Linked DNA regions of Lepisosteus oculatus. The protein of the gene in region 1 purifies or fractionates together with the protein of each later gene. This does not show direct contact. Links are inferred from orthologs where the notes say so. Each region holds a gene or a part of one and is shown on either strand. Other genes may lie near its edges.

The links. Proteins that work in one complex are often made in the same cells at the same time.
Region 2: the proteins of heatr3 (region 1) and tmem186 purify together in Homo sapiens (co-immunoprecipitation; 3 studies listed by BioGRID and IntAct, counting the BioPlex papers as one, with this or other methods). This does not show direct contact. The link is inferred for Lepisosteus oculatus from reciprocal best matches to the Homo sapiens genes HEATR3 and TMEM186.

What each region holds. Positions count from the first base shown.
Region 1 is NC_090715.1:1,959,602-1,963,355, reverse strand, and holds the start of heatr3 (HEAT repeat-containing protein 3), read right to left. Parts: upstream 2,482-3,754; 5' UTR 2,286-2,481; coding exon 2,145-2,285; intron 1-2,144. UniProt on the Homo sapiens protein: Plays a role in ribosome biogenesis and in nuclear import of the 60S ribosomal protein L5/large ribosomal subunit protein uL18 (RPL5). Required for proper erythrocyte maturation.
Region 2 is NC_090714.1:13,665,515-13,669,140, reverse strand, and holds tmem186 (transmembrane protein 186), read right to left. Parts: upstream 2,270-3,626; 5' UTR 2,073-2,269; coding exon 2,070-2,072; intron 1,749-2,069; coding exon 1,038-1,748; 3' UTR 633-1,037; downstream 1-632. Other genes in the region: pmm2 (phosphomannomutase 2), read left to right, coding at 2,509-2,583, 2,973-3,084. UniProt on the Homo sapiens protein: As part of the MCIA complex, required for efficient assembly of the mitochondrial complex I.

The DNA.
Region 1 (3,754 bases):
GCAGCAACCACATTAATATGTTTGCAGATGACACCGCTATTATTGGGCTGGTCAACAACAACGAGTCCACATACAGGAATGAGGTGGAGCACCTTATAAGATGGTGCCTTGACCACAATCTGGCCCTGAATGTCACCAAGACAAATGAACTCATTGTGGACATCAGGACACCCAGAGGGAGTCTCGCCCCAATCAGCATCGAGGGTACAGCAGTGGAAACTGTCAGCTGCTTCAGATTCCTGGGGTCTGTAGATCTCTACGGACTTGGCTTGGTGTCACAACAGCCGGTCTGAAAAAGGCACAACAGCGCCTGCATTTTCTGCAGCACCATAGAAAGCGTCCTCAGTAGTGGCATCACTGTGTGGTACAGCAGTATTACCATGCATGACAGAGACGCACTACAAAGGGTTGTGGCAACAGCGCACAGGATTATAGGATGTGATTTACCATCAATCGGTGAGATTCACATCATCCGGTGTCGCAATAAAGAACGATCATCATTCAGGATCCCAACCATCCCAGCCACAGACTGTTCTCTGGCAAGTGGGACTGCACTATTAAAGCACGGACCACTAGACTCAAGAACAGTTTCTACCCTACTGCAGCATGTATCCTTAACGACTAACTGCAACGCTTCAGACCCAATACACACCTGCACTATACACGAGCCCCCACTTCCTTACAGACTGAACCAGTTAAACAGGGTCCGTTGAATTCCTGCACACTGATGCCCAAAGAGAGCTCTAGTTCTAGACCTTGTAGGCCTTGGTTCAGCAACAGGCTTTTTGACGGATCATTACTATGAGTTATTTTATTGCTCTCGTCCACCGGGGGCAGTGCGGTGGCTCTGTGGCTCAGGATCTGCCCCTGTGGCTGGAAGGTTACCAGTTCAAATCCCGCGGCTGGCAGAGGAATCCTACTCCGTTGGGCCCCTGAGCAAGGCCCTTAACCCCAGCTGCTCCAGGGGCGCCGTACAATGGCAGACCCTGCGCTCTGACCCCAAGCTTCTCTCCCTGTCTGTGTCTCATGGAGAGCAGGCGAGGGTATGCGAAAAGACGAATTCCTAATGCAAGAAATTGTATATTCCAATAAAGTGATCTTATCTTATCATATCCATTTCCTATCCACTTTATCAAATTCACAGTCTAAGGGAAGCCGGAGCCTATCCCAGTAAGCAACAGGTGCAAACAGGGAACACCCTGGGTGGGACGCCAGTCCATCACAGGCCAGATGGACACGAACGCAGACTCACGCACTCAGAACAGGGCCAGTTTTCCCAGAAGCCAGGTCTTTGGACTGTGGGAGGACAGGAGTTGGCACATTCTCCACACACATAGACAGCACCCCAGGTCCGGACTTAAACTCAGGACCCCACCACGACTGTCATGAATAACACATGACCGTATATCATTATTAATTAATCAATTTGCAGACACTAAAGAAGTGACAGAGAAATTTGAGAACTTGATTGATGTCCACAAGTGCAGAGTCACATTCAAGCAGAAGAGTAATATATAGATACAATAGAGGAAACTAGTTCTGCGCTGAGTCCACTTACAGAAAACATGTATTTATGTTGATACAATTATCATCTTCAAGACAATTTGGGAGAACAATAAAAACGCAAACGATGTTACAATATCGCGATAAAAGTGTACACTAAGTGCATCTAAATATGAGAACAAAGGCTCGTCTTTACACAGAGAGTTATTGGGGTTTGGAACAAACTTATGATCTTTTCGTGTTTCAAATCGTTTAGACTAAACTAACGGAGGAGCGTACCAATGCATGGAAAACAACTCGGAAGAGGAAGGAGAATTAATCACCAGCTCCCAAATCCAAGAGTCGGTGAATACCAGCGCGCTTTGTAGTGTGCTAAACAAACTGTCCTGCCTGGCAACATGTCGCTGAACTTTCTGTAACCACTACAGACACGCCAAGATGAAGAAAAGCGCTGGTGGTGGTTTAAAAGGAGAAAGCGGTCTAACTTTCCCTGCAGGGGCGCTAATCGCACGTGCCTCCGCTCAGCCCTTTTAAACTGGGGGACAGCCGGGCCGAGCGGAAGCATGTGACGCCGATTAGATGCATTAGTTTCAACCGGCCTCGACACCGCCGGACACCGCCGCCAGACGAAAACCTCTTACTTTGTCCAGCAGCTCGCCGGCTGGGGTGTCGACCTCTCCAGCCTCTCCGTCCTCCTCGACCTCCTCCTGGCCGATTCTGACGGGCAGCCCCTCCGCCGAGAACTGCGGCCGCTTAAACTTCTTGTTCTTGCTCTTGCCCATCGCGCTGTCGTCTGCGGGGCGAGGCGGTAGTGGCAGCTAGGCGCGGTTGTGTTACGGGACCCACACGCACTCCGATCTCAAGCGCTGCGCCCGGCCATGTGCGGATCAGTGTAGTGTAGTGTAGCTCGGCTCAGCCCCGCACGCCGCCGCCGTCCATCGCCACGGTCGCGCCGGCAAGCACGCGCACGCCGCGCGGCCTGACGCCGAGCGTGGGGCTGGGCTTGCGCGCGATGGAGCGGGCTCGGGCGCCGCGCGGGGGCTGCTGCCGCCTCGCGGAGAAGGAACAGCCTCTCCCAAGTCCCATGACTTTAAAAATCAAGAAATCGTGTTTTGTGGCACGGATTAAAATCTCTAAAACTTCTGCTTTTGCGCTTCCAGTTGATTTTACATGCAGTAGCTTAAATGGTATTAAAAAGATCACGGCCCTTTAGGTTTAACAGCAGAAGGAAATTGAAGAGAGCGACTAAGCAGCGGGATGTTGTCAGAAATGAACGAGGCAGTCATATTCTATATTGGGTATTCATTTCGCATTGCATTTGAGCTGTTGGAGGTCATTTAACATTTTTCATTGTGCAAAACCATTTCTGCTATTCATCAGAGAAAAACTCCAGGCAGTACAGAGGTAACAGACTGTTTTAATACTGCTGTAAAACTATAACCTTCACAGAGATGGTAAGTGCCAATTCTGTATCGGTAGTCTTTGGGTTTGCACGCTGAACCCATTTTTACATTAAGAGTTCACAAATTTAGTTATATGGGGATCCTTAGGCTAGACAGACTACCCCCCGCAAAAATAAATGTGTGACCAACACCCCTGTCCTGTGAGGTCTCTTCTGTCAGAAACGAACTGATGGTATTTAATGTATCGGCAAAAGATTCTGTCTGGAAGTTGCTAATGTTGATTCAGCTAACACACAAAAGCAAATATTCAGGTAGTTGGGTATCCAGGCCTGGCCTTGTGAGTGGTGTGTGTTTAAGCTTAATTTCTAAATGTTAGCTGTAGTCTCATCACCATCCATTCAGAATTGCTGTTGAGGTTTAAACACAAAACAATACACACAACACTAAAATTGATATTTATTGAAAGATATGGGGAACAAAATTAAATCAGTTACAATAAACATCTGCTACAATTGCACTGTTGGAAATCAAAAGGTTAGTCATGTGCCCGTAAGACTTTTTTTGCCAGAGAAATAATTAAAGCAAAAATATAAAAAAAAACATTCAGAGAATTCTTCTTATAAAGTGATGATAAAATTCTACTATGATGCTTCTAAGCTATGACAGTCTGAAATAATACAATGCAATGCAAGACCACAAAAGATTCAACAGATGGCTTTTGACCAATGTCATTTAAATAACTTTTCAAAGAAACAACAATACTTCAGATTTTTGGCATCCTCATGGAGAGAGAATGTTTCAGCATCCAGTCCTATTTATTAACTGAGTAAAACAGGGTTGCGATTTCT
Region 2 (3,626 bases), on another chromosome or scaffold:
CTCTCTCCCCAAGGATATCAGAGAGTCTCCTTCTCTAAACTCCTTCAAATCCAGACTCAAAACCCTCTTCTCCAGAAAAGCCTTTACTGAACTGGTTCCATTCTTCACCCCTCTGCTTTTCCTAGTACCACCATCCACGGTCTCCTCTATATATTGTAATTGTGTTTTATCATGTGTATTCTTTTTATTTATTGTTGTTGTCATTCTGTAAAGTGCTATGAAAAGCCACCTTTAAAGGCGCTATATAAAATAAAGTTTATTATTATTATTATAAACTGAGATATGCCCATTCATGCAGACGGCACGGCTGTGGAGTGTGGGAGTAAACGGGAGCACCAGGCAAACGCCCACAAGGTAGCCGAGGACCCAGACAAGCTGGACAATCGAATCCAGCACACAGGTGTAGAGGCCGCAGCGCGGTCGCACCAAGGAAACCCAAGAAAAAGGATTCTCTTCCGCGCAGCACTCGTGCACATCCCATTTCAAGTGTGGAGTGGCGGTCAGGGCTCCGGCCTTGTAACCGGAAGGGTATGGGTTCAAATCCCAAGCCAGACATTGTTGGTGTAGCCATGGGTAAAGGTGCTGCTCCCATAAAATACATTCGTACCCATTTATAGCGCTAGGTAAGTCAATTTGGGTTAAATTAATCTTTAATTCATACACATACTTTAATTCATGATCTAATTAAGCACACAAGAAGGCCTTTTTTCAACACTATATTACATACCACCACTATATGCAAACAGTGTCAGAGGTCCAGCCCCCGACCCAGATAGGTCCTGTTCTTTTTCGGCATCTTCACCCGGCGGCTACAGATCAGCCTCCCGGCCGGAGAACGATTTGCAAAGCTGGGCCGTAAGGAAATGCCAAAGAGCAGCACCGCTACAGGCATTCCCAGCCAAAACATCCACGATTCTAGTCACTGCAATACTGGATAGTGGCAGTTTTCCTCCGACAGATTAAGTCAAGTGTTTCATTCTGCCGATCCTTCGCCTTTCACCGGGAAACCATTTTAAAACAATGCTTTCTTTGGAGTGTCAGGGGACAGGACCAAAGACTTCCACGAATGCCCGTTTGTCCACAACCTGTCCCAGGCGAATGGTGAAGTACAGGACCTCAGGGTGGCTGTAGCGCTTAAACCGCAGCAACATCTCATTGTGGGGGTCCCCCGTATCCCCGAGGGTCATGATATCCGCCACCGGGACATACTGATCCCGTCTTTGACCCCAGAAGGTCAGGTGGGATACCTTCAGGACGGTTTTAGAGTTGTTAATGTACATCATCCCGATGATGTGCCGGAGGTAGTGGCTCAAAGAGAACAGCATCACGGTGGCAAAGACAGCAACGCCTGTGGCGTAGCTGACGAGGGTGCCGGAGCACAGTCCCTGCGAGAACAGGTAGTATACAGGAGGCAGCGTAACCACGGTGATCCCAGTCTGGAGCAGCTTGAGTCGGGACACTGCCCTGAGGACCCTGATGGCTGGAAGCCTGTAGATCAGGGAGAATTTCTCATTGGAGCGGTTTTCATTGGAGCGGTCTTGGTGGGCTCCAGTTAGCAGCTGGCTGTGCACCCTAAGTGTGGTCCATACTGTGCGTTCCTGCATCGAAGCGAGGGGACGGCGTTCGTGCTGGTGAGGGGTGAAGGAACGGCCACCGACCAGACATCTCTCACGATGCGCTGAAGCAGAAGCGCCGGGCCACACACACGGCGAAGCACGAACGGTTCGCAGAGACAGTATTGATCTGTACTTTAAAGGAGATAAGCGGGGGAAAAGTTTGCTTATTATAGACTCGTGTACTTGACTAATTTATTGTTAATAATGAATAAACCCAAGCATGAAGGTTAAGACACAGACCAAGATTAACATGTCAAATACCACAAAACAGGTGAACTAGCTAACAGTATTCTATTCGACTGGGCTGTAATAAACGTGTCACAATCACAAACGTCTCTTCACACATATCAGAGCAACCCTCCTGAGCATAATAAAAGTATTTGCTAAACAATGCATCATCCTAAACGTAATTGCTTCAGATATTAAAAGGAACGATGGTGCAAAGTCAATTACCATCACAGCAGACCGAAGTTGCAAGCCAAGAGGGATGACATCATAAACGCTCCGGGGGGAAACAAAGCCTTCTTCGACAGAGTACCGAATTCATCGAATTCCCCCTGATCCTTATTTTTTTAAGAACGTTATTGAATCAAACAAAATCGTGTATATGATACTGCTTACTATTAACCGCAAAACGGACATACATTGTTTTTCTAGAGTTCGGTTACTTCAACCATCTCTAAAATAATGTCTTTGTAGTCCACATCCGGACTCGCTAGCTCATTTCCGCCGATGGTGAACCGAAACTGTACTACATGTCCCAGAGTGACACGTAATCTTTTCCTGGTGGAAGAGGTCTAGTGTGACTGTGATATTTGACTTTATTTTCACGTTAATCACAATCAAGACTATCTTTTCATTATTTGAAACAAGCAGTCAGACAGTTAAGAAAATGGCACCATCTGGGAAGGATACGACAACCCTCTGCTTGTTCGATGTCGATGGGACTCTAACTGCAGCAAGACAGGTGAGTTGTAAATATTTCGAGCTGGTTTTCCTGAAATGCTCGTTCTTCTTTGGAGAAGCTAAAGATGATCCTGAAAATGTGAAGGGGTCGTCGCGGGATGCTGGGGTATTCAGTTTCAGAAGGCGCGGATTAATGAGGATGACGAGAACGTTTAAATCAGCAAAAATAAAGACGTGTTTCCATTCTGATCTTTCCAAGCCAGTCACTCTGATGTCGAAGTGGCACCGTTGATTTTAGTTTCTGGCTAGCTTTTACGAACATATTTAGACAACACAGAAAGAAAAGGGAAAAGCAAACTGACTTAGAGTTCTTTGAACAATCAACAGTAATCAATAGTTAAAAATAGGGTTTTTCGTTCTTAAATTCTTATGAAACTTTCCCCTCCACAGAAAGTCACCCCTGACATGGATGAGTTTCTTCAGAGGCTGAGAAAGAGGGTGCGAGTTGGAGTAGTTGGGGGATCTGATTTTGAAAAGATCAAAGAGCAGCTCGGAGCAGATGGTGAGTATTGACAAGCCATTAATCATATTGATTGATTAATCATATTGCAAGTCAGTTGGAAGATGAGTGATGGTAATTTGCCCACCCTGAGGCAAAAGCAATACAATGACTTTGTTGTGATCTAGGTTAACTATCTGAAGCCAATCCAGGCTATTAATGCTGTTTTTTCTTTAATAATTATAAAGTATTACATTTAGCAGCTCCAGAATCTGTACAAATGCATGATATTTGTAGGAAGGTACAAGCAACCATACCTGCTGCTAAATGCATCCTTTGTTGTAAAGATATTGTATTTCACATTTGAACCTACACTGGGAACAAAGCCTTGTAAATCTAAGGTATTGTAATTTATGCCTATTTGATCTGAAGATTTTTGAGTGGAGGGGTTTTTAGTACAATTACCTCTCTGCAGGAAGGCTCTCAGGTGCTGGTCAAGACTGAAAGCCTGAGATAATGATCAGTGTAGCTGCAGTATTTGTAGGATATAGCATTAATAACTAAAGTATTAGTATAGTATTAGTAACTAAAGTAGTGTATACAAG